3 linked regions of the Oreochromis niloticus genome follow. The protein of the gene in region 1 purifies or fractionates together with the protein of each later gene. This does not show direct contact. Links are inferred from orthologs where the notes say so. Each region holds a gene or a part of one and is shown in the gene's direction. Other genes may lie near its edges. The genes, in order: cope, copz1 and arcn1b.

Region 1 (7,413 bases):
TGGTTACTAATAAATGTTAATGTCTTCCCATTAAATCCAGCAAACATGGTTTAAAGCCCCACAAAGGTCTGAAACATGGGCGGCTGGTATAACACACCACCCCCACAGTCAGAGCTTCAGCGGTGCTTTCTCATTACCAATCAATGACTAATAAACGCAGACACATAATCCTAATGATCATCCACATGGTGAAGCACAAACTCTGTTTATCTTTCATTTCTCGCACCGTGTCCACATCTTATTAAACCAACAACCCGTGCAACTCTATTTCACTTCGGAAACAGTCCGTTAGCCGCTAAATCTCTTATCAAACGCTATTTAAAGTATCCCAATCACGCACGAACTGATTGGCCGTTACTTCCGCTGAGCTCGAGCCAAACATGGAGGCTGTCAAACACGTAAAGAAACGCAGAAAACAAAACAGCTCTCATCAAGTCCGTGTTTGTCCGAGGAGGAGTGGAGGGGGGAGCTGGTTTAACCACAGGCCGCTGAGCGCTGGGATGTTTAAAAACTGCTCGACCGTTGAGGTGGGACTCACCTTACTCTCAGCTTCACGGGGACACAGGAGCGGTCAGCCAGCCAGATGACAGCAAGTTAGTACTGTGAGCGAAATGTCTCAAGTCTTCATCCTGGCAGAGGCGATAAAGTCACTTCACAGCATATTTAGGTTTTCTTCCACTTGTTTTGCTGCGTGTGGGCTGTGAAACGTCCCGTCCTCGCTGCTGTTTAATTCAGTTTTTGTTCTGTAACCGTGGACTCGGCACAGATGTGTAAATTATTGAACGCGTGTTTTCTTCCCTCGGCTGCTGCGCGATCAGTTACCACAGTTTGTTGTAACTCGAGTCCTCCCACTCGTAAAAAAAAGTTTCAAACTTGAGAGGCACTTGGAAATCACCAGATTGATGTGGGCTCGGACCAATGGAGGAGCAACGAGGGGGAGTGGTCCAAGCCCAATCAGGCCGAAAGAAAAGGGCCATTTACAGCCAGCACAGTCCCTGCCCCCGTGCAGGGCTTCCAGTAATTATCCTCGTCCAGTTCCCAGTCCCAAGGCTGAAAATTTCCCAGAGGAAACGGTGTTAAGGGAACAATGAGCAGGAACTGTGGGGAGCAGCTTTTCTATCAGGGTCAAAATAATAAATAGTCTATAATGTGTCTTTTTTACATAAACGCAGCCTGCTTTGGTGCTTCTGGTGACAGTTTTTGCAGACAAATGTGCAAAACTGTGCTGAGAGCATGATGTCGGGCCAATGATCCTGATGTGAGAGAGGGGGGAAACTATCAGCGGATGTTTTCAGGACAGGGGAAGTGTTTCCCCGTCTGTCTAATGAGGATACAGAAATTCCCAAGGTCATATCCTTTTTGGATTGTTATGTTAAGACAATAGTTTATTTTATATATATGATGTAGGCCTGATACTCTTGCACTTGCAGTGCTATGCTCAGGAAAACCTTTTTTTTGACAGCCAGGTGTGATTATTGAGGTGTTATCTTACTGAGCTACAAGAACATTTTTGTATAATCTCATTTACTGTAAGATTTGTGCTTCTATGGGATAAGTCTGTCACAATGAGAAAAAATGGAACAGTTGTAGTGGTGAGATTGATCTGGAGCGTCCTCTTGTGGTATAATGTGAGAAATTACTCTGTAAGCTGAAGACCTCTGCAGAAATGCACACAAAGTAAATTGTGTGCTGTTTTTCTTCCATTAGTAGTAAGTGGTGCAGAGAGTGGTCGGGATTATCTGTGATAGAAGGATCCTGAAAAGAGTCCAGGTTGATGCTGCTGTCCTAGCAGACAAAGGACACTAAATCTGCATCATTTTGCTGCACACATTCAAGCATCTCAGCTTCCTTAGGCGATAGGCCATGCTCATATCTTTCTTGTGTACAGCATCTGTGTTGGTCTTCCAGTTCAGCCTATTGCCAGTGTGGATGCGTAGGTGCCTGTACTCCCTGCAACTCATCACCATCCTGTCCCAGGATAGACACGGGTCATGAAGTCAATCGTCATCTCTCCGCTCTTATTTACTTCCAGAAGCAGGTGATTCCTCCCAGACAATTCAGCAAAATCGTCCACTTGTGTTCTGTTGCTTGCTCATCACTAAAATACAATACATCCAACTCCTGCAGAGTCATCAGAGTATTTCTGTAGGTGCCGTGACCCGGAGTTGTACTGACAATCTGAGGTGTACGAGGTGAACAGGAATGGAGAAAGCACGATCCCCTGTGGGGCCCTGCACATCACCTAACCAGGCAGAGCACTGCCCAATCTCACAGACTGTCAGGTAGTCTGTAATCCATATAGTTGGGGCTGTGTGTTCTCCATTTTTACACAGCCTTCAGCTTACATGCTGTTGTACAGCAGGGTTTTAAAAGAATACTGATGTCCATTTATAATAAGTAATAATTATAAGCAGAAGAATGAGTATTTGTATAGCACTTTCTAAAACACACATTTACAAAGTGCTTAACAGTTTGGATAAAATCACACATTAGTGATAAGTGTTCATATTTAAACATGGAAACACACAGTGAGATATGCACATTAGAAGAACAAGGGCTAATGCTAACCTATAAAAATGACTCTTCAGCAGTCATTTAAAACAAACCACTGACTCAGCTGGCCTGATGTCCTCTTCCAAAGCTTAGGAGTTATTACTTTAAAAGTGATTCCCTCTGGATTTAATATAGGTGCATGAAACAGTTAAAGGACCCTGATCAGAAGACTTGAGAGGCTGACTGCTGTTGTAAGGTCTCAGCGGGTCTCTTATGTAGACAGGAGCCTGGCTATGTAGGGCTGTATATGTTATTCCAAAAATCTTTAAATGAATTCTGAAAATCACTGGAAACTGAGGCAGGAAGCAAGAATAGGGGTGATGTGTGAGCACCTGTTACTTCATGTAAGGTGCCTCACTGCTGCGCTCTGGACCATGAAGACAGTCTAGGGAGGCGTGCGAGCAGATAATGCAAGTGTGTACTCAAAAAACTGTTGGGTTTCAGTGAAGGTTTGATTTTTGAGATGTTTCTTAAATGAAAGAAACAAAACTGGCTGAGCTCTGAGATTCAAACTTGCTGTTTATAAATAATACCAAAGTCCTTAATACATGATGTGATATTGCCTGAGAGCAGGATGGTGTAATAACTGACCTGCTTAGAGACGTCTTCAGGCCCAAACCAAATAAAACCGTCAGTTTTAGAAACAACTGAGATGGAGGAAGTTTTTAATCACAGCCGAGCATTCACTGAGGAAGGAGAGGTTGTTTGTCTTGACAGAAAAAATACAGCTGTGTGTCATCAGCAAAGAAATTCTAGGAAGTGCCTTTTAAGCTGTTTAGCAGAATGCGCAGGGGTATATAAAGGAAAGAAAACTGCACCAAGGATTGAGCCCTGAGGAACCCCGCGTGTGAGGGGGGCTGATGAGGACACACAGATAAGTATGATGAGAACCATTTGAACCAGAAATACCAACCCCCTTCCATGATTACTGGTGTCAGAGGCTGCAGATAAGTCAAGGAGAACTAAAGCAGAATATTCACTTTGGTCTAAATGCACAAGAATAAATCACATTAAAATAAGTAAAGGCGCATATAAATGGGTACAGTAAAAGGACTAGATGTTACAATCCCTGATAATGCATTGCTTCAAATGGAGAAAGTCTTGAGGGATGGCGGTTATGAGGAAAGGCAGCCCAGAAACTTCACCAGCGGGATACGTCGTTGTGTGCCTCAGCTTCACAGGGTGTTTTGGTCTTTTACCCAAGCTAATCTGCCATTTTTAACCTTCCTTGGTTAGGTTTAGGGATTAGAGATCTGATTATCATATTAAAATTTGGGACACATCGTCAGTAGTGGACCTTGGATTCATCGGGTGTTTCATTCATTATCACTAGACACCCTCATCTAAGGAGGCCCTGCCAGGGTTGATCAGGCCCCTGAGAGTGTCACTGGTTTATGTTAAATTGTTATTTCTCTTCTACTTTCTTCTGTTTAGTTTTCTACAGTTTATTTTCTTCTATCAATTCACTGCAACTGAGAAGTAATACTTACCTCTTTAATATCTATGAAGCCTCACTTCTTCAAAGGGATAAAAAAAGGTGAAAGAGAGAAGTAAGACAACAGAGACGATAGAAGAGAGCAGAGCTGGAAGGGCTCGTCTATGCTATAAATGGGTACTACTTGTAACAAAGTAAGAAAGTGACGATCACAAAGTGCCTTACAGTAGAAATGTGAAAAAAAACAGAGCATTAACAAAAGAGTTGACTAAATACAAAAATTTTTCAGCATGTACCACAGAGATATACCATCAATCTATGCTCTCCCTCAGAGTTGAACTCCATCTCCCAGAATCCTGGGCAAAACGTAAGAAGGTGACGTATATGTGCTACGTGTCCAGGAAGTTCTGTAGTCAACATGGCGGCGCAGCAGGGAGATGTTGATGAGCTGTTCGATGTGAAAAATGCATATTACATCGGCAGCTATCAGCAGTGCATCAATGAGGCGCAGAAAGTGAAGGTAGGTGACAAACAGTTAACAGCTGAATGTGTCTAAACGAAGCTGTCTGTGTCCCCGCGGCTCTGTGTGAGCCAGCAGTGCTAAATGTGTTAGCTCAAATTTCTCTCACTTAATTCGGTGCTGAAATGCTGCCTGTGTTTTGCCTTTGAAGCCGTCGTCACCAGAAAAGGAGATCGAGAGGGACATGTTTTTGTATAGAGCGTACATTGCTCAGGTGAGTGTCTCAATCAGAGCTCTGTTACTGCGCTCCCACCGCTGTCACACGGAGTGTAGGTGAGACCTGTCCTCGTCCTTTCTGTGTTATTGCAGAGAAAGTATGCTGTTGTCCTGGATGACATCAAGGCCAACTCTCCCCCCGAGCTGCAGGCTGTGAAGATGTTTGCAGAGTATTTGTCGAGTGAGAGCAAAAGGTACCATTTTTACATCCACTTACACTAGTCCACCATGGGAGGGACATAGGACTTGGCGATATGGATAAAACGTATTCTTTTTCTGTAGTTAATACTAGTTGTCACAGTAGTTTTCCAGTCTGTATCAATAGGAGGCTAAAATTCACACTAGTAGTTCGATATGTGCTGTTCTTTGTGGCTCTGTGGAAAGCAGATTCAAGGTTGCCAAGAGAGGAACTGCGATGCTGTGTGAGGGTGTCAAGAGTTTATTTGAGGGTGGTGTATGATGACAGCGAGACTGTTGTGAGGGGTGTGGGAGGAGTGAGAGGTGGTTTCAAGGTGGAGGTGGAATTACATCAGGGTCTGGCTCTGAGCGCCTTTTTGTTTGTGCTGGTGATGGACAGGCTGTCGGATGAGGTAAGACAGGAGTCTCTGTGGACTCTGAGGATTGCAGACAACGTTCTGAACTGTAGTGAGAGGAGAAAATGGGTGGAAGAGAGGTGGAGGTGTGTGTGTGTGTGTGTGTGTGTGTGTGTGTGTGTGCGCGCGCCGGAGAAAAGAGGAATGCATGTCAACAGAAAAAAAGAGACAAATGCATGTCTGTGTAAGAGTGAAAATACAAGGAGGAGAGGTAGTAAAGGTCATTACCTGGGACTATCATCCAAGGCAATGGACAGAGTGGGTAGATATGAGTGTTAGGGGCAATTTGTGACAGAAGAATGGCAGCAAGCTTGAAAGGGAAGGTTTATAAGTTGGCAGTGACCTGCTCTGATGTATGATGTTGAAATGATGGAGCTGGAGGCAGAACGAAGATGTGCATATTTCTCTCTGTAAAAATGAGTACATCAGACGGCTCAGGCTTCTAACTTTGACAAAGACAAAGTTAAAGAGGCAAAGCAGAAATGGTCTGCATGCGCAGAGAAGAGGAGGAGGAGAGTGGATATGCTGGACAAAGGATGTTGATAATATGGTAGGAGGAAGATCTCTGAGAAACGCTGTGCAGAGGGTTGGTGTGATGGGGCAGTTAATTGACCTCGCAACCCCCAAAGGAGCAGCTGAAAGAAGAAGAATTTGATGTGCGATTACTTTTAAAATGCAGAGATTTGCGTTCAGCAGAGACTTCTTAAGTGTTTGAGGGTCTCAGGTTTTCATTCATTCTTGATACAGGCCTGATGAACACCAACGGGTCTTATATCTGTTGGCACGTCACTCCAAACTCAAGGGATTGAATAATGTCCTGTGTGTCCCAAATAAGTGTTGCGTTAATAATACACAAACGATACAATACATAATTCAGTTCCTCTGTGGTTAACAGATTGTATAGATAATATATTGATGGTAGGTCTTGTAGATCTTTTGTTTCACTCTAATATAGTCACAGACTGTGTTTCCTGTTCTCAGTGGAAATTGTGTTTTGTGATGTTACGTTTGCTTTGTTTTTATTCATTTTTAACTGCTTAACAAACCTGACAGAATTTAATAAGGTGTCCATATACAAATTTGAATAAAGAAGACAGAGTGTATTTGAAACAGCTTAATCTTTAGATGGTCGTTGTTTTTTCTTCACAGCTTTTAATGAGGCTTTGTTTTTGTTCAGGGACGTAATCGTTGCCGATTTGGACAAAAAGATGGCAAAGAGTGTGGATGCTGCCAACACCACCTTCCTACTCATGGCTGCCTCCATCTATTACCACGAGATGAATACTGATGCTGCCATCAGGACTCTGCACCAAGGAGAAAGCCTCGAGTGGTAAGAAGGGAGTGAAATTTTTAGCTTAACAAGGTTTGATTTATGATCCGCTCCAAACATTTTTCACCATATTTTACTAATAATCACCACGAAAACAAGAACAGTTTAAATTTTAACTTTCATTTTTATTCATAACCAATATTTGATGGAGATGCTCAGTCATCTGAGCTCATTTTGCATGATTACTGCTTCTGGACTCACTGTGCTGCTTTGACAAATGCGCCTACACGGCTAATATGAAGAAGATGAAGATGAACTACATTTGCATATAGACGTCATCAATCATGTATTATGTTTGACATTTTTATAAATATCACAGATCATTTCTGGGCTGTTTACAATCTGTGAACTCTGTAACTTTGAGCCCTCGTAATTTGTTTTTGGGAAATCTGGTGTTGAAATGTGTCCTGTGTCATCTGTATTCTATGCAGTGGGATCTTCACTCCCTGCAGTTTAAAGAGCGCTGCATGAAACTGACCAAGCCTCACCCTTGTTGTTCTTTTTTTCCATCAGTATGGCCATGACCATTCAGGTGCTCCTGAGCTTGGATCGTGTTGACCTGGCGAGGTATGACATTACTTGGTTTTTTTCATCGAAGAGAAAATTAAACATGATATTAGAGAATTTGCACTACAAGTGGTTGATCAGCTTTTGGAAGCGCACATCTACAGTTCTGTGCAAAAATCTTCAACCAGCTTTCTTGTAATTTTTTTTTTTTTCTTTTTGATGCGGTCTCAAACAATAGTTCTCAAGGTTTTGGGGTTTT
Region 2 (7,436 bases), on another chromosome or scaffold:
TAATACTTTGTATAGGATTCAAGTATTTGTTAAAGCAAGCAGAAGTAAACACGTGCTTGGAGAACTGCTCGCAGAATTTCTCAGAAATGTGAATCTGAAAACAGATGTCACAATCATTTCTTTCCTCGAATTGTAGTCGCTGAATTAACTTGTTAAACAGAAAGCGGGAAAACACACACACACACGCGCACACGCACGTCTATCATCGTACTAAAGATTTGAAATGAAAATGAAAATTTTACACATCTGCACAAACATTCAGACAAAAGTTGTAAATGTGATGATAACTAAGTTTGAGTTATTTAACGTAACATTAAATATACATTGATGGGCTACAGTTACAAATTTCATTCAGCTGTACATTCACAAGCTTTGGGAACGTGGATGGTTTTGTATGGCCCAATATAATATCACATCCCACTGAGACATAAATCACAGTGTTTTCTCTGTCATTGTTCTAAGATGGAAAAACTAGGTGGCTGACTAAGTCAAGAAAGGTGAATGTCTACCAGGAATCAAAGAAGGGACTTCCCAACCCAAGTTCCTAGCACCCAGCCCCTGACTCAACCACTGCCACAGCATGCCAAAGAGCACCCTGTTATTACTGCAACCACAGTGGTTTTGAATCTGGACACAGTTCCCAGGTCAACGCCCACATTCCCTGTTTGTGTTTGTTTGCTTCAATTAGTCTTTGACATCTCTGCTTTCCAGCTTGCCTGAACCTTTCATGGCTGTCAGAGTTTACTTATTGTGTAGCTCAGTGCTCCAAACAACTGTGCTTCAAAAACAGGCCAGAGGTGCTGGCTGGGAACTGCCCACGGTTGAGTCGCTCAGGCTTAGATTTGCTTCATGTGCGTTACGTTTTGTATTGACGCTAATCTGAAATTATTTGTCTGCTGTTCTTTCCGTGGTAATTAAAATGTTCATTAAAAATTAAGGAATTGTGGTATCTTTGGTTTTGTTGTAGTATCCAAAAAGCTTTAGCAAACATGAGTGGGAAAAACCGCCTCATGACCAAAAAAAAGGAAAAAAAAAATGGATGTGTGCAATGGGTTGTGGTATCAAAAGGGGAATATTTTTGGAGTCAGCTTCTGGGAAGGGAAAAAAATAGAGAGGGCAGTTTAAGTTTTTTCTTTTTTTAAATTGATTATGGAAAAAAAAAACTAAAAAGCTAAAAATTACAAAAGGGGTGACATGTATAAGGTAATGTGCGCAGCCGTTAGTGGGAATATGCAGATCGGTATCTGACTGAAAATGCAATCCATCTTATAGCACATTGTTAAACAGGTATCGCTGATACCGACGTGGCAGACAGAATGAAAAAATGTGCACGAAAGTTGAAAGATTAATAATCGTTTTGGAAATTAACTGGAAGTGCAGTGGTCTGTCGTTCACACAGCATCAGTAGCAATGTTTGTCACGATGGTCACACATTACCAGACATAAGAAAGAGAAAATGAGGAACCTGAACATGCAGCATCATTCTTCTGAATGTCTCAATAGTGCCTGTGCTTATCTCAAGATGTTCAGATAAAGATAATGTTTTGCAACAACAGTATTGCGTTTCTTGTTATTTACTGAGAGCCCCTTTTATTTTTGTGCAAGCGTGTTTCTCAAAAAAAGTTGACATGCCCTGTACAGTGTGAACTAACAGTGAATGCAATGAGTTGCAATTTTTGTACACCCTATATTTGACTGAAAACGTTACAAAAACGACATAGTTTCAAGTACTAAACCCGAGATATGTTACTGCTGAAGAATACAAAGCAACGCTTTTCCAAAAATATCTCGACGGGGCCATGTATACAACGGTGTTGCATCACCGGTCTCTTCAAGAAATTCTTCAAGCCCTTGGGAACGGAGGGGATGAATTGCTTTTCTATTCTTACTTCATATATGATTCCATTTGCTCAATTGCTTGGAGCCTCCTTTGTGTTATTCTTTGTTTAATAATACAGTAAGTATTTTATGCGCCATGTATGGACAAGCAGGCCAGTTTAGCAACTGTACTCTTTTACTATGGAGCCATGCTTTTGTAATAGTTGCTGAATGTGATTTGGCATTGTTTTGCTGAAATAAACAAGACGTACCTGAAAAACGGAGCTGCACTGGCAGTATATCTTTCTCCAAAACCTGCATATATCAATTAGCATTAATTGCTTTCACAGAAGTGCAAATGCTGGCTTTTGAACTGTGTGCTGATAACAAGCAGAAAGAACATGGTGCACATTGCTGTTTCTGGATTTTTGTTTGTTTTGTTTTGTTTTTTCTTTGAATGGTAGTATGTTAACTTCCATTTTTGGATGCACAGCAAGCTAACTTTACTGGAAATGTTTTTTCAAAAGTCTCCCCAAGCTCATCCAGTGATATCCACTGCAGAATTTCATTTTTAATATTGGCCTTTCTCTGAGTTTTCTGACTCTTTTATATGATCTCTACCATGGTAGAAGATGAGATATACAAGTTCTTAAACAAAAGAAATTCTCAAACTGTTAAAGCAAATGCCTACTGTGTTGAATCCATCTCCAGTTTTCATCTTAAACACTTAGACTCTCTGGGAGCATCTTCTATGTTGCTTACTTATTACCAATCTGTGTGAGATGTGAGATATTCCACCTGTTTTTAAAAAATAAGCATAAGAGCATTTTTTATTTTTAACTTCTAATATGTTGTCACCAGAGTATTTTAATTCATTATAATGTTTAAATTGGTTGCAATTGTCTTTTTATTTAGGCATCACATTCCTTTGGAAACAGGTTATGTATTCTATTGGCCAATGTGCTCTTGACAATGAAAGTCAAGTCTGGTTGGTAATGCAAACACATATTGGAGGGGGGGGGGTGCAGGGAAAGGAGGATGTTGGTTGGCGGAAGCTCTGTTTTACACCGATAAAAGGAGCACTTGATTCATAGGAAGGGAACTGCTAACTGCTGTGGTTGCTGGCATGTTGTGGTGAGAGGGAAACAGCCCATACTATTAAAATACTTCACTTTTACATAATGCAATGTTATTATTTTCTAGTTTTAATCTTTTAAGTAAAAAAACACTGCTGATAATATTAAAAAAAAATAAGGTAAATACTTGATGAAACTCAAAAAAAGCTCCTGAAGAGAGATTATTAGCTATCAGTTTCCTCACATCATGCTTTTCCAGTGCAGACTTTATTATTTAGGATCTTTTCATGACAGAGTAGTGGTGTACATGTTTAATACCACTTACTTTTTGTAATAATCGATCCAGTTCTTTTTTAGGTAAACCGAATCAATACCATATGCCATCCAGAAAACTTACAGTCATTATATACAGTAGGTATTTTGTTTCTGTTTATTCATTGTATGTGTTGATTCATCATTCAACTTTCAGAAATCAGTCAGCTTTGCCAGTCATCGTCACCACTGTGATGCTTTTTAAACACAAAAAAGAATAAAAATAAGTTTAACTTTGTGATGAGATGGCATGACAATATCAGGCGATATTTTAACCTTTTAGTATGAGCTAGTTCAAGGCAGTATACAGTTTCCTCTCTGGTCAAGGCAATTTTGAAATCGTAGTGGCTAAATTTGTGCAAGCATACTGCAGTGTTGCAACATTTCATAGTTTCCCACAGTCCTCTTGTGAACACGCATAAGAATAGTTGGTATCTCCTCACAATACACGTTCTGCAGTTAAATAATGGCTGGACATTATTTGCTTTCCAGTGATATTTGAAGCCCAAAAATATCCTACAGTAAGGCCAAACAATGATGTAATTTATGGAGTTAGATAGAGGGAAATCCCCATCTGCCTGTGTTTCCAAATGCTTCCCAGAAGTGGGAACTAAGATAATTGGAGTTGGTTAAATGTAGGAGGATACTGAAAAAAGATGTTGATGAGTACGAGCAAGCTAAAATGGCTTGTAAAACGAGAGATTTCTGGTTACCACTAAGTCCTACAAAAACAGCAACCACCTTTAGTCATTAGGTTTAATTACAGTAAGCTCTGCAGGGATGTGAACTCTAAAATAAACATCCTGACTTACACGTGTTTTTTTTAAGAAGTTCATACGAGCTACTAAAGGCATTTACATGTTTGGATTTACGGTTTCAACCACGAATGAATTTAGGTTTTATTGTAAGTCTAATGGGGTTAGTAATCTTCATATTTTACACAGTAACAAGATACAGTCCGAAATTACAGTAATAAAGTTAGTTAATAACTTGTTTAGCTTTACGTTTGGGCCATTAAAAGGTTCAGACTTTCCCGACTTAAAAGGCAAATGTGTTATAACTACAGGCGAGTCTGAAAGTACTTCTTTATTAACCACATCGCTTTTGAGTTTCAGCTCTTTTGTGGCTGCTTGCTCTGCAGTGAACTGATCTTTGCCCTGCACGCACAACATACGGCACTGCGTCAGCCAATAGGAAAGAGACTCATTTACTGTACGTAATACGTAGCCTAATGCTGCTAGCCCGGTAGCTGGTTTGCTAACAGGAAAGAAGATGGATTCTCCCATACTGGTAATGTTAGCCCATTTATTTATTTCTGACGATGTAAAAGCCACGAGCGTTACCTCGTTAGTACTTCACATAAGTATTTACTAGCAAAATGTTTCTCGCAGTTTTGTGTTGTAGAGTCATTTAGAGAGCAGTCGAATAAACTCAATGCTAACTACAGTGAACGGGTTGGCCGTGTTAGCTAAGGAGCTAGCATCTAAAGTTAGCTCGTATGCGTTTGTTGATGATGTGGAACTGTCATGTCTCCTTCACGATTTGGTGATTAAGAAGTCTTTTAAATAACATTTAGACTGATTTTGTGACGCCAGTCGACACCCAATTTATTCAACTTACTTGCACGTCCACCGTCGCCTTTTTGATAGTTCATGTTTATTATTTAACATACGAGTTGCCACATATTTAAAGAATTATTAAGGTGAATTCGTTCCTGTGTAGGATAAAACAATGCCTAACGTGTGCTGTCTTCACAGGAACCTTCCTTATACACGGTGAAAGCTGTTCTCATTCTGGACAACGATGGAGACCGGCTTTACGCCAAGGTATGAATTTCAGACATCTGTGACATCATGTTACTTCGTTATTATTAACGCCGGTGACATGCCAAAAAGTGATCTTCTGCGAAACTGTGAATACTGGACAAAAATCATTGCTGATATTTAAACGCTTGTAAATTAATTATTGGCCTATAATCTGTCAAACTCTTGTGAATGGTATCAAGTCATTTTAAGCCTGAAAGAAAATTGTCGTCACAAGGTAATTTACCTGTGGTCAAAATGTACTATTTTCACTACAGGCTGTTTACCAAAGTAAGCAATGATATTAAACATTAAAAAAACACCGGAAGTCACTGTTTGACACAACAGGTCTCTGGAGCCAGAGCATGTCTGGAGGTGGTCACCCCCTGCCTGAAATATGATTGCTCCCCCACCAATGATATTGGACTACAGTACTGTTAATCTTGCAGTGCCCAATACCGTGGAAGCATGTATAGAAGCAGTAGTAATGTAACATTTACTTGAGTACTTTAGTTTAGGGTTTAAAGTATTTGTACTTAATTTAAGCATTGCTCTATCATGCTACTGCTCTTACGCTAATAAATTTTGGATGCAATTATTAGAATTTCTACCCTTTATTTTTTAAGCTTTAGTTTGTAATTGTTTTGCAGGTTAATTGCATTATTATAGATCAAGTGGTACTGCAATATATAGGTAATTAAAATCAATAGCTTGAACATTAAAGAGATACATATGAATGTCAATGGATCCATAATTATGATCCAGTGGTACAGATATAGTACTGTTAATGATTTTGAAAAGTGCTATTCAACATAATGAATATGCTTACTTTATGTTTTATGAATATATTTTTATTATACAGTTCATGCAGTATAAGCTACTTAATTATTATTATAAGTTTTACTTTATAAAAAGTCTAAATACTTTTTTTCACGTTGCGAAAGGATTATCCAACACAAAGGTATAATTAAAGTTTTGCACAGCACTACTTTATCCATAATAATTATGTTACAGGACACAGGGTTGCACATTAGCCTGAAAGTCACCCAATGTTTTGGGGGGTTTTTTGCCAATTTTCTGCACTAATTTTAATTCTGATTAAATATTCTGAGTTTGTGCAGAGGGGCCCACAGGAACTTGAAGAAAAATCATAGAAACACTCTTGCTCTGAAGTTAATTTTCAGTTAATAAACCTCTTTTTGCCACCCAAAAACCCCCCACCAAAAAAACAAAAACACTCTGCCTGATTCTGTAAATGCTCACATAGCTACATTAAACACAAAATTCAACCCATAACAAATGCTGTATTTTTTCCTGATTAAAAATTATGTGCTCAAACAGCTCCCAGTTACTTTAGAAAAGTGTAAACCTTTAAAATGTGTATGACTCACTATTGTCTCGTTTTCTCATTTTGGGTTGATTGTTTGCAAGAAAATGACATCCTCTACCATCATCTAATAATACAAATGAAAACTAGTGAAAATTATGTAACCTTTAGACTAATATCTAAATATGACTTAATTTCTAATTTCTGCAGTATTATGATGACACATACCCAACAGTGAAGGAGCAGAAGGCATTTGAGAAGAACATATTCAACAAAACACACAGAACAGACAGTAAGCAATCTTTACACTGTTAAAAACAGTTACTTTGCCTCAATACATACCTAATATCGAGCATGGTTGTTTTTTGTGCCTCTTTAGGTGAAATAGCACTACTTGAAGGCCTCACTGTTGTCTACAAGAGCAATATAGACCTCTTCTTTTACGTGATTGGAAGTTCACATGAAAATGAGGTAAGTTTAATTTTAGTTTTTGTAATGAACCCTTTTTAAGTAGGAGTTGAAACTTGCTTATGTTGTGCTGAGGAAAGTGACAGCACATGCCGAATATGGATCCTGCCTCATCATCCAGTCTGTGAGAGCCTGAGAAATGGTGTGAATCACAGTACATGAGCAAGTTTTGACTAGTATTGTTTTGCACTTGGAACATTATAATTGCACTAAACCACATAAGAAGTTTTCACAAGTAAAGTCCAGAAAATGCCAGGTGAGGCCTGTGAAAAAGCTGCCCGTTCTCACACGTGGCAGACAACTGGAAATAAACAGAGTCATTTGGTTCCTCATTACTTGAAACATTTCTAAAACCACGCATGGAAAAAATGTCTTAATTAACAAACAAAAAAAACAGGGGTGGGGGGTGGGGGCTTTTGAAAAACACAGAAACTAACTGAAAAAATTGTGTTTGCTTACAAAGCTAACTAAATTAAACTTAAAAAAGTCATCTTTACTCTTAAAGGTAGTCAAATTTTATTAACATTTATTAACTTATTAATATTGTAATATTAATAAGTTAACAACTTATTAATATTACAATACAATAGTACTCTTTAAATCTTACCCCTAAATAATAAATATTACCCCTGA
Region 3 (7,971 bases), on another chromosome or scaffold:
TACGTGGTGGTATCGATTAAATGTGCAGATTAGACTTGAACCGACCGTGCTGACTCAAATCAGCGTATAAACGCTGCTGCATCCGTTTTGTGTTGGTTCAGTCTCCAGAAAAACCAAAAAACCCAGGAGGAAGTACTGAACATGAAAGTGGGCTGACGGTCAGCAAACACTGAAATACTTTTTTACATTTCAGTTATTGCTTTCTGAAAAGTTACAATTCCTCTTTATTCCTTTTTATTTTAATCAGAATTAAAAAAGAGGAATAAAACTGGCATTTTAAACATGGTGATATTCTGGGCCAATCACAATCACTATCAGTGCACGCCGCCTTTTAATAGGACGATATATTCAAAATCACTGTTTGTTCTATGTAATATGACGGATTTATTTTTTAAAATAATTCCTGGTTTTTAGTTTCCATCTCGTTTCCACACTGTGGCTAAGAGGCGCAGCAACAGTCTAACCAGACTGTTGCTCACATTCAGGTTCAGTGAAGTTTTTCTGGAAACACACGAGGTCACCAGCTGCTTTGAACAAACACACAAACTTCAGTGTGTTCAGTGCAGTGAGGATGGAGTGACAGCGTGGACAGATTCTGACTCAATTTTAAGACCTAAGCTGTAAGAACATGTGAATAATCCACTCACTCTGCACTCTGATCAGGAATAGAAACATGGAGACAGAGCTACAAACGCTGTACAGACAGAGGGGCTGCCTTCTTACCGATTTCTAAGTGGATGTCAGGGTACAGCTCTTTCAACTTTTCGGCCACGCTGTCCGTCTGGATGCGAGCCAGCTGCAACAGAAGATCAACTCATTGCATTCTGTGTCCTTTCACACTTATTAAATCAGTAGAGCAGACCGGAGGACAGACAGTTATCATAAAAACACACTCGTCAGTTTTATCTCTGTGGAGCTCCAGACGGTTTTCAAATCAGATAATTCACAACCGACAGTCGGGGATCTGTAAGTTCAGCTTTACATTAGAGTCAAACCTGCCTGAATTTAAAGCTCCTGATTGGATAATAATGTAATACTCACCTGGCTCTTGCGGGTTCCCACTCGAATGACTCGGCTAACTTTGCCGTTTCCATCCTGCCGGAACATAAAACCAGATCAGCCACAAGATTCTACAAACACTCACTCTCTCCCACTTCCAAGATGTATTCCTGATATGTTCAATCAGCACAACACAGTTACACTTTCTGACTTAAAATACGAATGAATGATCCCTCTCTGCTGGCCTCACCCTGATGTACTTGTAAGGTCCTTCCTCCATGGTCCACACTGAGCTTCTGCACTGTAGAGGCTATTGTGTGCACTGTGTGTCTGGGACTGACTGCTGCGTCCTGGTAAGGAGCTTTGCTGAGGTCATATAGCCTCTTGATACTAAACAGTGTCCTTTCTTATTGGACCCAGCTGACTCCTCCCCCACTAAGGACCTCCACCCCACGTATCTCTGGTTCCCACAGATAAGTGTGTCTTTTCAATGAGTCCGTTACAAAAGGCAGTTTAGGAGGGTCTTGGTTACAAGGTGTGGTCACAGGGAAGAGTGTGAGTGGAAACGTTACCCTTCAAACACAGGCCACAACCACAGTTACAGAAATATCCAGATAACACTGCTGGCTGTTTTTAATCAGAGGCTGTAATAAATGCACAGATGCAAACACTGGTCAGAGTAAAAACTGAGCTTAAACACGTCACTGGAAGTCTTTATTTCGTTGTGATCCTGGTCAGACTTGGCCTACAGTTTAATAGCAGTGGCTGGGTAAAACAAAGTAATACTTACTTGAGTGGGAGTATTCTGTATTTGCTAATATGCTGTTTAAAACTAAAAATACTGTTTAATAAAAATAAATGATAATCTTCAGTAGCACCAGCACACCAGATTTTTGATTTGACTGGTTTTCTTTTGACTGGATGACTTATTATACAGGTTTTTAATTATTAATTAAAATAGCTGATAATTCACTAATTTTTGTACACGCTACATGCAGATTACATCATTAAAACTATTATTCTTACTATTAAATCTGAATTATTTGTGACATTTTCTTTCTTTTTACTCATTTATTTTTCACCTGACCCGTGCATGTCTCAGACATAACCCTGGGCATTACGAAGGGTAAAACAAAGACTGGGTTTTCAGCCGTCTGTCCGAAAACTGCATTCAAAAATCGATTCATCTGACATGTATTTACTCAGCGCCTTTATAAACATACCTGTTATAGTGTAGCCGAGGTTAGCAGGTGGCAAACATCCATTCGGCACCAGTGACAAAGAATAGCTAACTGTCATTTTAATAAAATGCTGAACTTTTCAATGCGTTCACCTCCAAGTTTAACACATTTATCAACGTAACTCCGAGGCGGGAGCAAAATCCGTACTGCGCATTTCATGAGGGGAGAATATAAAAGCTAAACAGCTAGCTTAGGTGAACTCAGTGTCTGTGAGTTACTTCACTCTGAGAGGGGAAAACAGTGGCGGTGGGGTTTTTCGGTGTCATTAGCTAACACACTGAACTGTAGCGTTAGCAAATGAACAAGCACCCAGCCTGTAAGGTTAGCGTTCAGTGTTTAAGTGTCAGCGGTCAGTCAGCACTCTGTTTGGCGGCCTGCTTTTATCCAATGCTGACCTTAACGTTCCCAAATCAAACTAAAGCATCTAGCTTTTTACAGCTACTATCTGTCACGTTTGACACCGCCCCCTGTCCAATAGAGAGCACAATCCGCAGACAAGCACAAATGTCAGCCAATCAACGAGCCCTACGTGATGACGAAACGTACACACAATGGGTGAGCGCTGAATGAGCAGCATGTCCACCGGGAAGATCTGACTGAACAGTGAAGAAAACCAACCTGAGAACTAGCTTCTTCCGACATGTCGGTGATTCGGTTTACTCTGCTGGTGTTGCACGAATCAGCAGCGTGTTTTCTGGACACAGAGACTATTAGAAACAGCTAAACTCCTGGATGAACTTCGAGCACTCGTCTCAAACAGCTCCGCGTATGAATGAGCGTGGTGGCTATGATGTCATCGGACCGGCTAGAGGTCATTTCCTGGTCCCGCCTGTCCTTTCTGCTTCTGCGGGCGTGGGTGTTCACATCCACGACTTCAAGTGTGAATATGCTGGAAGTTTAAAAGAAACAAAATTATTATTGTTTAAGAAGGGAAAGCGCAATAATTGACTTCCGGCTGCTAAATATCGGCCAGTAGTATTAGAATGATTACTTTAAAAGTTGTCGTCTTGTGTCATGTTTTTGTGATCTGACGACGTGGCCATAAGAAACAAAACCTGTCTGTCAACTTTGGACTTGTATGCCAACTACCACACACCTGTAGGCTTATCCAGTGAGTCCGTGAAAACATAATGTCGGAGGTAGGACTGGGAGTAAATAAATTACACTCATATTCTTACATTGTTACTGTATAATTTAATGGAACAGTGAGATATCTGTTGATTAAAAAAATCAACGCAGTCCGATAAATACAGGATCGCGCGTGTTCCTCTTCCCTTTGTTTAAATGGTGACACCTAGTGACCAAAATAAGTTACTGCAACACTGTGATGTGTGTAGTTTTTCGTGCTAGGGGTCTAAAATGAGAACAATTTTTTCCTCTCCCCCTGGGTGAAAGACGTATCGATGTGTTCACACTCCAGTGACGCAATCAGACAACAGTATCCTGCCCAAGGATACTCAAGTATGCAGACAGGAGAAAGGAGCAGCCAAGGATCAAACTACCAACCTTCTGACTAGTAGAGGACCTGCTCTACCGCCTGAGCCACAGGCGGTAGAGCAGGTCATGACAAACATATAAACAGTATTCCCATATGAATGTTGGATTTATGTCCCTAAGAACTTTCTGAATATCTAAAAGTGTTGCTGCCACCAGCATCTTGCTTACACGTGCATTTAAATTAAATAAAAAATGCTGTCTGCTCAAACTGTCTGCTTAAAATGTTGCACCTCGTCTATAAGCTATCAAACCCATTATTTTCCATAAACTAAAATATTTCATACTGCACTCCTCCACCGATGCAAATAAAGAAGTCTGTATATTTTTAACTAAATGATCAAAATATTAACATACTAATTAATGTCAAATATAAGTGAATATTATTATGTTAATATTAGCCAAATAAAACATGCTAGTGCAAGGCAATTTTCTTCTTCTATATCTTTAACAATTTAATAATTATCTCCAGTAACTAATCTTCTGTCTGGCCATTAATCCCACAGCCCAAAGTTTAATTGGATAACTCTTTATTGTCCATGCACAGTCACACCTACTACGATAGTACAACAAAACAGGAAGTTGGAAATTGATTGTATGTGTGAACGTTGTCTGTCTGTGTGTGTGTTAGCCCTGTGACAGACATATCCAGGGTGCAGGGTACCCTAACCCATCATAGCTGGAATAAGTTCCAGCCAGTCGTGGAACTGGATAAGCAGAAGAATGGATTGTTGGAGTAAATGTTTACTTTTCTTTCTTTAATGATAATAATAGAAAAAAAAAACAGAATTCAACATGTTTGGAACTTAAACTTAAAAGAAAAAAATAAATTCCATAATATATCTGCAACATGTTAGTACATTTCTCACATGCTTGACAGCTTACTTATCGGTAGTTCGGTGCCCACCCCACCTCCACCCCCCGTCATGTGATAAATGCCCAATGAGAATATTTATGTTTACAATTAAGTTTTAAAATGTAACATAAAGAAATTAAGGACAACAAAGAGAAAAGCCTAATTGTATCATATGTTGCATTAGATGGGATGAATTTGGTGTTTTTGACGATGATGGTGGAGAGCACTGCCTGCACTATGAGGACTGTAGCATATAATTCTTTTTTTATACGACCCCCCCGTGTGCTCTGTGGGTGAAGGCGTTTTCATCCCGGAGACCAGTCCCCTCAGACGTGAAATGCTATCACTCAGAACTACTCTGACAATCTCTCTGGATAATATTTATGTGTTTGCCAGGTTATTGATACGCTGATAAACGTTAAAAGTAATCGCGTGAAGGTAATTTGTGGTCAGTACCGCACAGAAGTCTAAAGAAGAAAGAAACGCCGGTGGAAGTAATCTGAGTAACTTCTTTATGCAACAAGGCCAACATTTTGGGGCCCACGTCATTGGTTTCCACGGTGGGCTGATCCAGCGCGGCTCTTCCGGTGGAGACGTGGCTCTGTGCTGCTGCCATATTGACGCTAACTAGCTAACAATCACACAACTAGAAGTCAGCTGTATATTCGCACCTTGCCATTCCAGAGGGACGAGGAATCACCAAAGCAAGAAACGCGAGAGACTGACGACCGTCGTGCCGTAGAGAGAGACCACAATGGTGAGTGACAGTCGAAAGTGACCATTATTTCCCTGCCTTTTATCGGGCCTAGCAACTATCATAACATTGGCTAGTAGCTAAAGCTAGGTATGAGAAAACTAGCTTCTTCCCTTTCATGAACGAAAGAAGACAAATAATAAACGGTTCTTTTTTTATCGGAGCCACAGTGTTAGCGACATGTTCAGGTGCTAAAATCGAGTAAATGAGTCGTCAAAGTCGAATTTCACCGGAGTGAAGCGCTTTAGCTGTGCAGTCCGTGCTGACGTGAACTAGCTTTGGAGGCTAGCGCTAGTTGTCTCCTGTCAGTAGCCGGATCCGTGCAACCACTGCCTGCTGTCAGACTGTAATAAGCCAGGTTAAACCGAGCCCGGCTCTGCGACAAACCCCAACTATAGGTACAACTGTGTTATTATAGTTAGCTAGTGTCGACGACTTCGATAACCAAAGTTGCTGCTCGTCTTTATCGAGTTCACATCGGTGCGATCGGGTCTTCCATTTCTATTGTCAACGTGGAATCAGTGCAGTTCCTTCATTCATTTAGCACAGCCACATAAAGCGTCCGTTTATGTCAACCATTGTTATACTCATTATATTAAACGACCCCCGATTCTTTTATAAGATCATTTTCCATTGTGCTAACATCTGCACTAGCTGTCGTTGGCCTTACCAAGGACCAGCTCAAAGTATCTGTGAGCTTTAGCATAGTTTTGCTTCATTCCAAGCAAAACGTGTATTCTAACCAAAACCTAACTTTCTGGTTCCCACATTCAACATACATGGCGTATCTTCTCTCATACTGTCTTCTTGCACCAAGTCTGAAACTGGTAGGAGGCTTTGAAGGGTGTGAGTACATTTGGAGTGAATTGCTCGCTTTATAGGTAAAAGATGAAGATTGTTGAGATTTGTTCAAGGCTTTTAACTGTCCCAGCCCCTTAAAGTGAAACCTGAAGAAGCTGGACTTGTAAGATTCGCTCACCTAAGAGAAAGGCAAACAGCAGTTAGTTCATGTGCTTTTAGTAACGTCCTCAAACAACTACAGCCGTGTGTAATCAGGAGAGCACCAATATATCAAATGACAAGTACTCTTGTCTGGTTTTTCTGACTTCACTGTATCGGCTAAGTATCAGAATCAGCTGATATTGACCTAACTGAGTGTAGGCCACATCAGGTTAGCATTGGATAATGGCTGACTTAGACTTCTACAGTGGATCTTTGAAGAGCCAACGATGTAACCTATGTAAGTGGCCACTGTTATCAGCATTTGTGTGCTGGTGCATTATGTGTTAATTACATTGTGCTCGTTTCTTGGGTTTTATATGTGGTGTCAGCTATGACGAAAACAAATAAGACTTTTTGCTCCTGAGTCTCCACTCCTCAATGTGGTTTTCCACTTCTTTGTACATTTCCTCGTGTTCACTCTGATAGTTTCATCAATCTTCCTCCTGTAATTTGGTGAAATGTGTGTTCTTATTTACTATGATTATTATTCCTTATATGTAGATGATGATTGATATTCTCTAAATCAAAGACTACAGCAAAAAGTAGCACAAATTCACAGGAAGGATCAGTGGTATTGAACAATCACAGTTGTTTCTGGTTGTGTCAACGTAACGTGTTGTTGCATTTTTAGACAGGAGCACGTCAGGTTAAGATGTAGGGTTTCCAAGTAGTTTGCAGTCACAGTGTACCTATGTTGTAGATTTCCTGCTGATGAATGAATCCTCAGCAAGTGTGATGAAGATCTGTTTTTTGGTTGTTTTGTTTTTTTCTTGTTTCTTTGGAATAGAAAAGAAAATTTTACATTAAAAAAAAAATATTGAATTTTGACATTCGCTGACCTTCCTGTTGTTGTTATGAGCATAGATGTTGGTCCGATTAGTGCATCTTTAGTTGTAATAGTTCAGGTCTGTGGGAAACTAAAGCAGTCAAATTCCTCTTTACCCCTCAGGTGCTGTTGGCAGCGGCGGTGTGCACCAAGGCCGGCAAGGCCATCGTATCGCGGCAGTTTGTGGAAATGACCCGGACACGAATTGAGGGTCTCCTAGCTGCATTTCCTAAACTGATGAACACGGGCAAGCAGCACACCTTTGTGGAAACAGACAGCGTTCGCTATGTGTACCAGCCACTGGAGAAGCTCTACATGGTCCTTATCACCACCAAGAACAGCAACATCCTGGAGGACCTGGAGACACTCAGACTCTTTTCCCGTGTGGTAAGCACACACAGGCAGGTTTGGATAGAAGTCAGTTTGCAAAGAGCATTTATGTATGTGTTGTCTGACATCCCGATGAGGTGACCGGTCTGGTAACAAAGAAGAATAAATGTAGAGACGTGTTACTGTAAAAACCTGTACGTTCTGAACATTACAGTATGTGTAAATGATGGATGTAGCTTCTGTGAAACCAGCTGTGATGAACAAGGGGTGATCTCACTGTAAAAAGATCATTAGCTAGCAGCATGTAAATCACAAACATTAGCCGATGAGCATACCCTTGGTAATCCTGCTCACACCCAAAATAACTCATATTTACAAAATGGGCTCAATAGTTTATTCATTATGGCCTGAAATTAGTCACCGAGCCCATAAACTCACCAGCTAAGTGTTTACCTGGAGACACCCCCTG

The links.
Region 2: the proteins of cope (region 1) and copz1 purify together in Homo sapiens (affinity purification with mass spectrometry; 3 studies listed by BioGRID and IntAct, with this or other methods). This does not show direct contact. The link is inferred for Oreochromis niloticus from reciprocal best matches to the Homo sapiens genes COPE and COPZ1.
Region 3: the proteins of cope (region 1) and arcn1b purify together in Homo sapiens (affinity purification with mass spectrometry; 4 studies listed by BioGRID and IntAct, with this or other methods). This does not show direct contact. The link is inferred for Oreochromis niloticus from reciprocal best matches to the Homo sapiens genes COPE and ARCN1.

The regions. Positions count from the first base shown.
Region 1 is NC_031986.2:44,407,016-44,414,428, forward strand, and holds the start of cope (coatomer subunit epsilon), read left to right. Parts: upstream 1-4,347; 5' UTR 4,348-4,406; coding exon 4,407-4,508; intron 4,509-4,659; coding exon 4,660-4,722; intron 4,723-4,817; coding exon 4,818-4,918; intron 4,919-6,494; coding exon 6,495-6,647; intron 6,648-7,160; coding exon 7,161-7,214; intron 7,215-7,413. UniProt on the Homo sapiens protein: The coatomer is a cytosolic protein complex that binds to dilysine motifs and reversibly associates with Golgi non-clathrin-coated vesicles, which further mediate biosynthetic protein transport from the ER, via the Golgi up to the trans Golgi network.
Region 2 is NC_031984.2:19,116,287-19,123,722, reverse strand, and holds the start of copz1 (coatomer subunit zeta-1), read left to right. Parts: upstream 1-4,340; 5' UTR 4,341-4,478; coding exon 4,479-4,496; intron 4,497-4,963; coding exon 4,964-5,032; intron 5,033-6,545; coding exon 6,546-6,627; intron 6,628-6,714; coding exon 6,715-6,806; intron 6,807-7,436. UniProt on the Homo sapiens protein: The coatomer is a cytosolic protein complex that binds to dilysine motifs and reversibly associates with Golgi non-clathrin-coated vesicles, which further mediate biosynthetic protein transport from the ER, via the Golgi up to the trans Golgi network.
Region 3 is NC_031979.2:1,082,649-1,090,619, reverse strand, and holds the start of arcn1b (archain 1b), read left to right. Parts: upstream 1-4,942; 5' UTR 4,943-5,344; coding exon 5,345-5,347; intron 5,348-7,295; coding exon 7,296-7,559; intron 7,560-7,971. Other genes in the region: porphobilinogen deaminase, read right to left, coding at 724-796, 1,042-1,095, 1,250-1,279. UniProt on the Homo sapiens protein: Component of the coatomer, a cytosolic protein complex that binds to dilysine motifs and reversibly associates with Golgi non-clathrin-coated vesicles, which further mediate biosynthetic protein transport from the ER, via the Golgi up to the trans Golgi network.